Arabidopsis thaliana: one gene and its partner. The protein of the gene in region 1 interacts with the protein of each later gene in a pairwise test. Each region holds a gene or a part of one and is shown on either strand. Other genes may lie near its edges. The genes, in order: ROL5 and AT4G35910.

Region 1 (6,623 bases):
TTTCGTTTGTGGGTCATTAAGCTTCTTAGACAAAATGTCATGTGGGCTTGCTTTATATGTTCTTCAGTCACATCAAGGTAAGTTTTTGTCTTTCTTTCTAATATTATCTTAAAATTGATGGAAGTCTAATTTGGAAAATGGTGCAGGCACTTCACCAAAGGTTGACGTAAACATCAAAGAATATTTTTACTTCTCGGTGACAAGATATGGGTTAGGACTTGTTCCAGCTGTATGCTCGCTTGTTGGAGTTGTTGTAACATATTTTATGGAACTCGATAGCACGATTCTAAAGCCTCTGTGTCAACCGCTACTACTAGAATGAACAGAAAGAAGAAACACAATGCTTATGATCTGGTAAACACATATAGCTCAAAACTTGGTTACTGTTTGACAGTAAATGTTTCAGTCTGCTAATTTTTTGTTCATAAGAATAGGTTTATATCACACTGCGACAGGCAAAACATTTGTACAAGAATTACTGAAAGTCATTAAAAATTAATGCAAGTTGATTTTTATTTTATGTTGTCTACTCTTTAATCGCTTCCTTCATTGAATCTTCCTTGTCTGAGACTCTGAAGATGAATAAAGATTGACTCTTTGTGATATCCTTGCAGAAAGAATCATGAATATTTCTGATTCTTACCCTTTGTTTTTGTTTTCATTAGAAATTTAGAACATAGATGATCGATGAACATATCCACGTGAGAATCAAAACTTAATCCAATCCATTAAATAGTTTCTCTATTCTACAGAGTCTGAGAAAGGAAATTTTTTGATTCACAAAGCAATTGATCAATGTTTATCTTTTATTTTTTGGTGTGGTGTAATGTTAAGTTCTTTCATTTGGTTATTCACATAAACATAGGAAAATATAATGGAGAACAATCAGAATTATGTCTTTTTAAGCAGTTACTCATGCAAACCTGTTTTGTGATCTTCCAGCTTATACTGGTTGATAAATGGAGGAAAGGTTTCAGTTTTTTTTTTCGCCGACTAGATCTAGCAATGATGATGCTCTCAGGGTCAGAGAGAAACATCTGATCCATTTTTAAGGGTCAAGCAGAGTAGCACATAACAAGTAGAGAAACAGAGCCGGTGAAAAACGGAGCACCTAGAGAAACAGAGCAAAAAGATAGCAGAGCACAGAAAACAGAGCTAGCAATGAAAAGAAAACAGAACACTCGAACAGAGCAATCAGATAAACAGAGCAAGTAAAGACATAGGACACAAAAAAAACAGAGGACAAGGAATAAAATGAGCCTGGATCACCAAGAATTGTTTGTCTCGGCTGATTCTTTCATCCTTGCAAATAAAACACAGCTGAGTAAACATCAAAACATCTATCTAAAGATCTCAAGTCCAAACATTTTGTTCAGATTCTTGTTGGAATAACTACCACCGCTGAAACTTTTGCGATGGACATGGAACTATGGAAGGCAAGTTTTTGGCAGTAAATTTACAAAGTAGAGACTTTAATACAAAATAACTGCGTCACTGTCTTTACTCTTTAGCTTAATCGATGGGACAAAGTCAAACTCTGCAACACTGAGTCACTCTGAATATACCTCCGCTTAAACGATGCCGTTTAAATCTAAAGTGCGAGTTCCGTCAAAGCCCATTTATGGCCCACACACAAGACGATGCCGTTTCACGCCGACACTTAGGTTTAGGTCGTTTTCCACCTCCGACTAGTAATCCCGGAAATCTTCTCCGCATGAGCTCCGGTGAAAAATGGAGGCCAAGAACAAGAAAGCAGTAGCCTCCCGTCTCTGCTGCTTATGCAACCTGAGACGTCCCGTCCTCAAAAGACCTAAAACCCTTCAACAGGTAACTTTTCAATTTTTTTTATTTCTCTTTTCTCGTAGAATCTCGTTGGGTTTTAGCTAACATATTAAGCAGAAGCTTGGAACACATTTCTATACTGTTAGTGTTAGGTTTGACTCTTTATGAATTGCATTGGTTTGGATTATGATCTCTATGTGGAATCAAATCAAAATAATCAATGTAGTTCGTCGGAGTTGGATCAATAGTGAAAGTAACGACAATCATTAGTTTTTCAGTCTATTGCTAGTTTCCAGAGTCTCTTATTTTTGTGTTATGTATGAGAAGTGATTGAGTATGTGTGTTTTAAAGATATGCAGAGAGTGCTTTTATGAGGTTTTTGAGGAGGAGATTCATCAAGTCATTGTTCAGAATCGTTTATTCAAATCTGGTGAACGTGTTGCTATAGGTGCCTCTGGTGGAAAAGGTGATTGCTTAGATTCTGATTGATCTTTTTCTTTAACATACTGTAACTTTTTAAGATTGTTTTGTGCAGATTCTACTGTTCTGGCATATGTGTTATCAGAACTAAACAGACGCCACAATTATGGGCTAGACCTCTTTCTCTTGTCCATAGATGAAGGGATTACGGGTTATCGTGATGATTCTCTTGAGACTGTTAAACGGAACGAAGTCCAAGTAAGCTTCTTTTTGAATTCTATGTGTGTTAAGTGATTGTTTTATGGCGGTTTTTAGTTTGATGGGTTCTTTATTTTTCTCTTCCAGTATGGTTTGCCTCTTAAGATTGTTTCATATAAAGATCTGTATGGATGGACAATGGATGAGATTGTGAAAATGATTGGTTTGAAGAACAATTGCACCTTTTGTGGTGTATTCCGTCGACAGGTAGGGAGCAGTGCCGTTTTCTTTTTGTTGTTCAACTTTCAGTTTGTCAATAACTCTGCATACCACCAACACTCTTGTGTTTAATTCATCTCAAGGCACTTGACCGAGGAGCTGCGTTATTGAAAGTAGAGAAGCTAGTCACTGGACATAATGCAGATGATATAGCAGAAACCGTTCTCTTGAACATATTGCGAGGGGATATTGCTAGGTAAGTATTTGTTGATGATTTGATGGAAAATGAAAAATCTGTCTCGTTCCTCAACTAATTGATATTTGTAACATTGGTAACTGTAGATTAAGTAGGTGCACATCGATTACTACTGGTGAAGATGGTCCCATTCCAAGATGTAAACCTTTCAAGTATACATACGAAAAGGAGATTGTCATATATCCTTCACTACATAATGCTTTTGTATATATCGCTTATACTTGTCAACAAAAGATATTGTGATACCTTAACGTAGCTTTACGTATGCTTATTTCAAGAAGCTGGATTACTTCTCCACTGAATGTAAGTGTACAATCATCGATTTTTTGTAGGTTTTATCTGTTCCTAAGTTATAGTTTCAGCCAATCTCTAGTTATTTTTATGGCTTATTTTTTTTTTTTGAGTTTGCAGGCATTTACTCTCCTAATGCATATCGTGGGTTTGCCCGTGAGTTCATCAAAGATTTGGAAAGAATAAGGTTCTTTCTCAACCCTTTTGTTTAGTATCCGCTAGAATGAAATAAGAAAACTAGAGATCTCTAACTTACACAAAGTGCAGGCCAAGGGCGATTCTGGACATCATAAAGTCTGGTGAAGATTTTAGAATTGCAACAACCACAAAGATGCCTGAGCAAGGGACGTGTGAGCGATGCGGGTATATTTCTAGCCAGGTGAGACCTCTCTTTTATCACATCAAGTAAATTGTTTTCCATAATTAGAGTTAGTATATAGTGTTTGATTGTTTGGATTACAAATGATATGCAGAAATGGTGTAAAGCTTGTGTTTTGCTGGAAGGACTGAACCGTGGTTTGCCTAAGATGGGTATTGGAAGACCTCGAGGCGTAAATGGTGATCATAATAAGGAAACAAAGAAGCCTGGATCTGTAGCAAAATCTATAGAGAGCAAACAATGTGGATCTCTGGATTTCTAAAATTTTGAGAAAAAAGCTACAAAATCGTATGAGTCATAGTGAATGATTTGATTATATAGAAAAAGAAAAGATTTTTTTTTTCCTTTCATAAACTTCTTGTAGAACTTAATTGTACTTTTGGTTTTCTTTTTTGGCTTATGATTGTATCTGAAGGGTTTAATTATGAATTTATGAAACAAATCTGTTCATAAGTTTCCAATAAAAATTTTTGTACTTAGCCACACAATGTTTATTTATTTACATATAAAACATAATAGTTTTACATTAAGGTCTATGAAGAATTTTATATACAAAGAATCAAACCAAACAAACAATCTAAAAGAAAAACCAACATTTCATCAACTTTCATCACCAGCCCAATTACTCTTGAGTTTAGGCCCAGTAGGCCCATCTTCACCATAAACTTCATCAGGAATCTTCTTCACAAATTTAACAAAAGCCTTTTTCAAAAGCCCAGGCAATATCCTCTCCACACTCTTAACTTCATCATCAACATTATAATCAATCTTCGGCCCCCACTTCCTGAAATACTTAACCCACGGCGGCTCCACCACTCCTCCGCCGTCATACTCCGCCGCAATCACCTCATACCCTAACCCCGTATCAAGCACCTTCTTACCTTTCCCCGTATCATTCCTAATCCCAACCCCATCGTCTCCTTGCAACACCAACCCAGGTTTCGGATACATCGCGTGTCCATGTAGCGATGCGTACGCCACAAACTTGTTATTTCCTCCGTCTTGGAACTCCAAATCGCAAGCATCGATCCAAATTCCACCACTATGCTGCGATAAGAACACTCTCCAAAGCTCTCCGGTGAAATTACTGATCCGTAGCGTCGTGTGTTCCCAATCTCCAATGTGTTCTCCGATTCTACCCAACGGTAGATTTACGAATTTGACCTTGGCTTTTGCTGGTCCATTGAAAGGGTAAAATATCCAGATTGATATATCTGTGAATGTTGCTCCGAGCATTGGTTTGATATGAAGGTACACTTTTGTGCTTTGTAAGTCTCCTTTTTTGACTCTCTCTTTACCATTTTTGTCTATAGGAAGATCTAGCCAGTATGATCCATCGTTTGATCCTCCTTGTGGAAGATTAGAACCGTTTGATTCGATAGGGATTGGTTTCGATTCTTCGCCTTTCTTGTATAGTAATGCTCCGTTGTTGAAGTACCAAGTGACAGAGGAAGGTAGATATTCTTCGTCTGGATGGAAATAGATACATGGAGAAAAAGTTTGGAACAATTCTTCGATTTGGGACCCATTTGGCATTGTAGAGAAGTCGAGTTTCGTGTTCTTTAAGCAAGATAATGATGGAGGCGAGGAGTTTTGGGTTTGCCATGTAAATGTACCTACATAGACTCCTGTAGCTTGTGTTCCTCTTGTGGTTGGTTTTAGATTTGAGATGTTGACTCCGTTTGTGCCCCATATCCATGTATCAGCTTCACATTGTTCGGTTAAATCTGATCGGATGCAGCGTAGTTTGTCTAGAGGTGGTTTTTGTGAGTAGTTTGTGACTATTAGGCCAACGGCTTGATATCCATCAGGAGGAACGGGTTGCCAGAAGTATCCGGTTCCGTCTTGTTTAATTTTGAGTGACTCGGTGTTTCCTACGAGGGTGTAATCTACTGGTGGTTTTAAGGTGTTGCTTGAGAGATCTCTAGCTGTGAGTACCCAACCGAAAAGATTACGGTTGTTTGGTTGAGCGTAGTAGCCAAGGATGGAGAAACCGGAAGGGATTGAGGATGGTTCAAAGAATGTAGCTCCGAGATTGTCTGGTCCTCCTTCATAAGTGGACCAAACTTTGTTGAATGTCGAAACTTGACTAACTTCGAGACCACCTCCTAAGTCAATGGTTCCTTTCGCAAAACCATCACCTGATGATGCAAGTGAAATCAAGATTATCAAAACTAATTGGGAGACAGAGAGAGAGAGAGAGATCAGTAAGAACCGATGATAATACAAACCTCGAGTAAAAGTAGGTAACGGTGAAGGAAACTTGAATGCAGCATCGACGGGAAGTGCTTTGGGAAGCTTCTTTGATACATCTTCATGAGATGGATCAGAGGTTGAAAGGCAGTTTCCCATTTTTGGGATAGCGGAACATAAACAGGAAGATTGATATTTAAACAGAGGAAACTTGTTTGTTTTTTTCGTTTTTTGTTAAAACAGAGGAAACTTGTAGTCATGGGTTATATAGAAATGCAGTATCTTGGTGTCAATTACTTTACTCATCAAGAATATAGAAATAAGAAAGAGAGGATAAGTGTAAAGCATATTCTTCTCTGTGAATGACAAAAACGCAAATTTAAACGTATAAGTCAAAGCTGATCGATCTAACGGAAGGTGTCGTGCAAGGTTTTTTTCTACATATGCATAAAATTTTATCATATCCTTCTATCTTCTTTTTTTCTGCAAGTTACAAATCGTGCAAGGTATCACTTGATAAGTAAATTAGTGACACCGACTTGTTACGTTTTATGACCTAACAAGAAAAATGTGTTGCTTATTAAAATATTGATATGATCTTTTTTGTTTTATCTCAAATGCAAAACCATTTATTAGTCTTAAAAAGTTTACATCTTTAGAACGCTATTCAGTTCAATCACAAGGGTTGTCCCAAACATTTTCTAAATAAATTTCGAAAAATCATGTCACTTTTCATAGGCATTGAGGGTTACGTCCAGGTCCACCATAGAAAATGTAAGTTCCCCATCTTCGGCTAGAGCCAACCTTGAGGTTATAGCATTCAGGCCGAGTAACAGAAGCTTCAAGATTTTGAGGAAAGGGTTTGATCGGATGATTAGATTTATC
Region 2 (6,623 bases), on another chromosome or scaffold:
AGAGAGAGTTTTGCTGGGCCTATGGGTAAAAATACATGGAGAAAAAAGCAGGATGGGGGGGCTCTTGAGCTCCGACGAGTGGCAAGTGAAGAAGGTGTGGGAGAAAGAAAGCTAATGAGAGAAATACATAAATCGACAAAAACAAACCGTCTTCTCATCTCTGCCTCTGGATTTAACTCTCCCTTCACAGTTGCATAGAATCTTCTTCTCTGCTCATATTTTGAAGAAATCTCCAGGTGGTTTTGCATTTTCCTGGAAACGTATCTCTGTAATTCCTAGACTTGAGTAGTGTTCTTCTTCTTCTTCAAGCATTTTCCATTTTTTTTTTGGGTAATTTTGTTATAGTATATAGAAATCCGTGAAGAGAAAAAGTATATCGGTTGTCTTCTTCATTGCCATCATGTGAGCATTCCAATATTGTTTCCTCTCTCTCTCTCCATTTTTTTAATTTACTTAAAAGTTTTCTGTGATTTTCAATGTCTTTTTTCTTCCACTTGACTTGACTCTCGGCGGAGGAGTTTGTCGCCGGCGAATTGTTCAAATCGTCGGAGGTTGAAACTGTTCATATTTGTGCTACTTTTACTTTCTGGTCTTTGAATTTTACTCTTTCGCTTTCGTCAGCTTCAAGTCTTTCAAAGACAAATCATCTTTAGGGATTTTCTTAAAAAAAATTTGTTTGCTTTATTGGTGTTGAAGATCTTTGACGTAGAAAGCCTATAGACCTGGAGAATCTCTTTGATTGGTATCTTATGGACTCTCTTTTTCTCTTTGTTGCTTTTGTTGTCGCAGTCGAAGAAACTGCTCCCTCTTTTAGTCAATTCTCGCTTCACTCCCTCAATATAATGCGATTTCTCAACCGGAATATCTGAATCTCTCGGTGGTTACCTCTGATATATCGCCAGGAACTGAACTCCTACTCGATCTCTATCAACAATGCCGTCCTTGTAGAACTTTGGATCCAACTCTCTGATTCCGTCAATTTCCATTAATATCAGCTCAGCGAAGGTAAAATTTCCAACAATCTCGATAATTCCATGTTTTTGGATCTTCAAGTTATGTTTCCTGTGCATAATGATGATTCGGTTTCTATCGACCAGGAACTTTGAGTAGAAGAAGATAATGTCACATTCATGGGATGGTCTTGGGGAGATTGCGTCAGTGGCTCAGCTGACTGGTTTAGATGCGGTCAAGTTGATTGGTCTCATAGTCAAAGCTGCGAATACTGCTTGGATGCATAAGAAGAATTGTCGTCAATTCGCTCAACATCTCAAACTCATTGGGAATTTGCTTGAACAGCTGAAGATCTCTGAGATGAAGAAGTATCCTGAGACTCGAGAGCCTCTCGAAGGGCTTGAGGATGCTTTGAGAAGGTCTTACCTTCTGGTCAATAGCTGTAGAGACCGGAGCTATCTTTACTTGTTGGCTATGGGTTGGAACATTGTTTACCAGTTCAGGAAACATCAGGATGAGATTGATCGTTTTCTTAAGATCATACCTCTCATCACTTTGGTCGATAACGCTCGCATTCGGGTAATTTTACCTGCATTTTGGTCTAACAAGTTTCTCTGCTTGATGTTATGGTATATTGAAATTTTGATTGTTATACAGGAGAGGTTTGAGTATATTGACCGTGATCAGCGTGAGTACACTCTGGATGAAGAGGATAGACATGTGCAAGATGTTATTTTGAAACAAGAATCCACCAGAGAAGCAGCATCAGTACTGAAGAAGACTCTCTCTTGCTCATACCCTAACTTGCGTTTCTGTGAAGCTCTCAAAACAGAAAACGAGAAACTGCAGATCGAACTTCAGCGGTCGCAGGAGCATTATGATGTGGCTCAGTGTGAAGTCATTCAGCGTTTAATTGGTGTTACACAAGCTGCTGCTGCTGTTGAACCTGACTCTGAGAAGGAGCTGACAAAGAAAGCTTCCAAAAAATCTGAACGTAGCTCAAGCATGAAGACGGAATATTCGTATGACGAAGATTCTCCCAAGAAAAGCAGTACTCGTGCAGCTTCGAGGTTAGAATCTCATGTTTGTTCTAAAGATCCAAATTTCCTTACAAGTTTAAGAAAGTATAATCTTCAATTCTTTGCTGTGACTGTAATGCTTTTAGGTCTGTTTTCATGTTTGAAGGCTAAGATTTGGTACAATGTTCTATAACATCGGTTACACAATTGTTCCATGCAGATCCACTTCTAATGTTTCATCTGGGCATGATCTGCTTTCACGAAGAGCATCACAGGCACAACACCATGAAGAATGGCATACCGACTTACTAGCTTGTTGCTCGGAACCTTCTCTTTGTAAGACCACACTATTTGTTTACAATGTGGCTCCACTTTGTTTTCTCTGTTACATAGATGATTAGCGTTTCACATTCTATACTTCCTTGTTATCTGCAAAGTTCTCAAAGATTCAATGATGGAACCGCAGGCTTCAAGACATTCTTTTTCCCGTGTGGTACTTTGGCAAAGATTGCCACTGCAGCATCCAACAGGCACATCTGTAAGGGATATTATTGAATACCGTGACTTTATTAATTTTCAATCTTTTAGTAATACATGTGAAAGCTAATAAGTCAACTGGATTTTTTTTAATTTTCGCTCTCCCAGCTTCAGCTGAAGCATGTAATGAGCTAATGGCGTATTCTTTGATACTTTCTTGTTGCTGCTATACTTGTTGCGTGAGGAGGAAACTCCGGAAGACACTGAACATCACGGTATTACATTCTCATTCTCTTCCACTCGCTTGAATCCTTACCATTAATCCCATTTGATCCCAAAAATCTATATGCTTCCGAGAAAATTTCTATCATTTGCATACCATAAACAACAAATGAAATTTCGGTTAAAGATTAAGTAGACACCTGCAAAAAAATTCAGTAGTAACTATCATGGTTGAGATTGAAATGGCTATGTTTATGCCACTCAATGTAGAGTCGGAATGAATGCTTAATGTTTTCTGATTTCGCAGGGAGGATTCATTGACGATTTTCTATCTCATGTAATGTGTTGTTGCTGTGCCCTTGTACAAGAACTGAGAGAAGTTGAGATTCGTGGGGCATATGGTATGATTTACATACAAACATATTATCAATATTTGTTTCAATCTTGAAGCACTAACAAAGATCTGTCTCTCATATCTTTGCAGGTACGGAGAAGACGAAAATAAGCCCGCCTTCGTCGCAGTTCATGGAACATTGAAATCTTCTATTATACAAAAGGTGAACAAAAACAACGATTTGTTGTAACTCTGGATACGAGACGAGATTCTTCTTCGTACTACTCACTTAATATTATTGTGTTAAATCGTGGAGTCGTATGTAAATTAGTTTGGGATTCTCATCTTAATTTCAGCAATTTGTGTTGTGTGTATCACATATAGACTAACTAATTCTTATTTCAACCTTTTATCACAAGATAGGGTATTAGGTTTACCGGATGGCCAATTGAACCAAACTTGTGTTTTGGGTCAAAATAGTAGTTTTCTTTTATGAATCAAGGAGAACATATACAATTTGCTGGTGGGTGAATATTAATATTACAATAGCAAATTAAGGAAAATTCTTTGAAGAAGAAAAGAGATGAAGAAATGCATGTGAGGTATCATTACCATGACTAAAAAGCCTAAAACATTGACAAAATTGATATGACTGATGATGATTCTCTTCTATTGCTCCCAAATTGGACAAAACTTGTCGGTTCCTTTTAATGGATGGTTACATGTTTACGGTTTAGCATCTTTTAAATACTTATCAAACCATAATTTCTTTACTAATCGTCTCACCGGTATGGGTAGACTCGTAAATAACCACTTTCATCTTCTTCCCCAATTTTTCTTGCTTTCTCTAAACCCTAGTTTCAGACAAAGTAGTGACATTTTTCTAACAATTAAACCAATATCGCCGTAGTCAACCACCGCATAACGTTTTGGCGCCGCCTGAGGCTGACCTGGGGCTGCTAAAGATTTTATCGCGACGACTCTCTTTCTCTCTCAAACTGGTAACTAATCACTTATTTGCTTGTTTCGATTTTGAATGTGCACACATCGCTATCTATTCAATATATTCGCTTTATAGCAAGACTTAGCAATATACAGTGTAATAGGATTGATTATATACTGATTGAGTAAAAAAGACTAATGATTTCGTTTAGAGTAACAATCTCTTAATTATCTCGTTAATGGCGGAAAGTAGTTAAGTCTCGTGAATTAGATGTTGATAGCATTGTCTACTCCTTTGTGTTGTAATTCCTAATCTAAATTTTCCACAGTTTCAGCTGCTTGCGAATTGGAAATGGCTTGTAATTCCTCAGGCTGTGAGTCAGGTTGCTATGACCGTGAGAAAGATAATGGAAGTAAGATAGTGGATGATGCAGTATCTGGTGGCGGTAATCATGAGAGTGTCTGCGTCAAGTGTAAATGCAATGCGCCTATGACATTTGGTGACGGTGGCTTCGACGATGGAAGATTCTGCGCAGATTGTTTTAGGAACAATGTCTTTGGGAAATTCCGTCTTGCTGTTACTTCTCATGCTATGATCACTCCTTCAGATAACGTCCTTGTTGCTTTCTCTGGCGGATCATCTTCCAGGTTTTGCTCTCTTTTTTTCCTTTAGTTTCTGTTTTTTGATATGTTATTGATTGGTGTCTAAACGTAGCAAGTATGATGTTAGGGTTTCTCTTCAATTTGTGCACGAGTTGCAAATCAAGGCTTTGAAGAATTACGAGGCGAGTCGAGATAGATCTTTACCTGTGTTTGGTGTTGGTGTTGCTTTTGTGGATGAAACTGCAGCTTTTCCTGCTCTTTCCACTGAAATGATTGATGCAATTGAGTGGGTTCGATATACTGTCTCGTGTTTGTCTCCACCTGCTAAGGATCTCCATGTTGTTCCAGTCGAAAGCATATTTGGTTCAGACTCTCTTGACGCACGGGATAGACTTCTGAAGCTATTAGATTCTGTTCCTGACGATACTGGAAAAGAAGACCTTCTGCTGCATCTGAAAATGTTATCTTTGCAAAAGGTTTGGACATTATATTGCTTTTGTTTCTGTCTGGGAAAGAAATTCAGATTTGGAAATATCTTTTGTTTAATGTTGTTTGATAAACCTTTTTAGGTTGCCGCTGAAAATGGGTACAATAGATTAGTGTTGGGATCATGCACGTCGAGAATTGCTTCCCATGTTCTTACGGCTACTGTCAAGGTGTGTTGCTTAGTGCCCTGACTTGACTCGTGTTTCCTCTGGCTTAGTTATTCTATAGATTGCATCTTAGAGTGAGAACTTCATGCCAGAAAGCAATCAATGGCTACCTTAAAGAATGTAGATATTTTGGACTTAACCAATTACATCTCTAAAAATTGAAGTTTTGGTGTAAAGATTTTATTTCAGTACACAATGTTTTGTGTACTTTATTTGGACATTCCCTTTAGACTATGTTCTATCAGAATTGTGAGTTGAATTGCTTTTTCTTGAAACAGGGACGAGGTTATTCACTATCAGCAGATATTCAGCATGTTGATGCTAGATGGAAGGTTCCCATTGTACTTCCACTTCGAGATTGTGTTCGACTGGAAATAACTAGACTCTGCCTTTTGGATGGGTTCGTTTATTGGCTGCCTAGTCTACATTGTATTGTTATAGTGAACCTTATTCTTGCATAATCCAACTATTGAGTGACGTCACATATTCTGGGCAGGGCAGACTTAAGACTGTGGAGTTGGCTTGTCGTTCTCAATGCGGAATCAATGATTTGGTGTCTTCATTTGTCGCTCTGTTGCAGGTTCAGATAATGTTCATCTTCTGCATATGTTTAAGTGCATGCATGGTTACCTGTTACTTTGTTTTTACTGATTCATTTGTCTCTGGGTTCTGTTGTGCAGGAAGAAAATCCTTCCCGGGAATGCACAATTGTACGGACAGCTGCGAAGCTGACTCCATTTTACTTCAATAAAATTCCGGAAACAGACGACTCTAATGTACCTATGGCCACTCAGAGGCGCCTAAAGAGATTCAATCTCAAATATGATGGATCAATGACTACTGAAGCTTTCTGTCCTATCTGCAATGGCCCGCTAAATAGATCAGACTCATCAGAGTTGGATACTTTTGAAGAAGGCCAGGAATCTGATGTCCTCTATGCTGCTTGCTGTTCAAGTTGCCGGTTTCAAATACTTCCACAGGATGGATCATCTCTTGAGCAATTCAGTTCATTTCTACCAGATCACATGATTTCCCAAGTGAAACATCAAAAAGTTGATAGTCAAGCTTATCTGAGGTGAGTAGTATGCATTAACTCTGATCTCAAACTTGGATTCCTTTTCCATTCGTTTTACCTACATTATTGGTAGTTCATGTCTCTAGGAAGCATCAGATTTAAAACAACCAAGATCAAGACTGAGTGAAACACTATTTGAGATTCCTAACATTGGTTTCCATTTATTTCAGGGAGAAAATTAAAGACTGTCTGCTCTTGGACGATGAAGAGGTTGTCTAAATCTGCATTCGGATGCTTGCACAAGGTATGAGAGGAAGTTTAAATCCTGTCATGCTTATCAAGGATTATTCCTAGAAACCTAAGATCATCTTAGTTTAATGTCGATCTGATATCATCGTAGATGTTAA

The links.
Region 2: the proteins of ROL5 (region 1) and AT4G35910 interact in a two-hybrid assay, tested with the Arabidopsis thaliana proteins (one study listed by BioGRID).

Annotation. Positions count from the first base shown.
Region 1 is NC_003071.7:18,295,262-18,301,884, reverse strand, and holds ROL5 (repressor of lrx1), read left to right. Parts: upstream 1-1,580; 5' UTR 1,581-1,731; coding exon 1,732-1,827; intron 1,828-2,133; coding exon 2,134-2,248; intron 2,249-2,317; coding exon 2,318-2,460; intron 2,461-2,547; coding exon 2,548-2,667; intron 2,668-2,762; coding exon 2,763-2,875; intron 2,876-2,961; coding exon 2,962-3,054; intron 3,055-3,137; coding exon 3,138-3,178; intron 3,179-3,286; coding exon 3,287-3,353; intron 3,354-3,433; coding exon 3,434-3,545; intron 3,546-3,639; coding exon 3,640-3,807; 3' UTR 3,808-4,007; downstream 4,008-6,623. Other genes in the region: AT2G44280 (Major facilitator superfamily protein), read left to right, coding at 1-77, 147-322; AT2G44260 (DUF946 family protein (DUF946)), read right to left, coding at 4,146-5,897; AT2G44250 (tRNA-splicing ligase, putative (DUF239)), read right to left, coding at 6,471-6,623. UniProt on the Arabidopsis thaliana protein: Plays a central role in 2-thiolation of mcm(5)S(2)U at tRNA wobble positions of tRNA(Lys), tRNA(Glu) and tRNA(Gln). Directly binds tRNAs and probably acts by catalyzing adenylation of tRNAs, an intermediate required for 2-thiolation.
Region 2 is NC_003075.7:17,008,689-17,015,311, reverse strand, and holds the start of AT4G35910 (Adenine nucleotide alpha hydrolases-like superfamily protein), read left to right. Parts: upstream 1-3,669; 5' UTR 3,670-4,004; intron 4,005-4,274; 5' UTR 4,275-4,297; coding exon 4,298-4,593; intron 4,594-4,675; coding exon 4,676-5,024; intron 5,025-5,117; coding exon 5,118-5,204; intron 5,205-5,479; coding exon 5,480-5,601; intron 5,602-5,702; coding exon 5,703-5,781; intron 5,782-5,881; coding exon 5,882-6,276; intron 6,277-6,446; coding exon 6,447-6,495; 3' UTR 6,496-6,623. Other genes in the region: MCA1 (PLAC8 family protein), read left to right, coding at 1,120-1,530, 1,609-2,021, 2,191-2,306, 2,437-2,508, 2,616-2,722, 2,977-3,070, 3,154-3,206. UniProt on the Arabidopsis thaliana protein: Plays a central role in 2-thiolation of mcm(5)S(2)U at tRNA wobble positions of tRNA(Lys), tRNA(Glu) and tRNA(Gln). May act by forming a heterodimer with NCS6/CTU1 that ligates sulfur from thiocarboxylated URM1 onto the uridine of tRNAs at wobble position.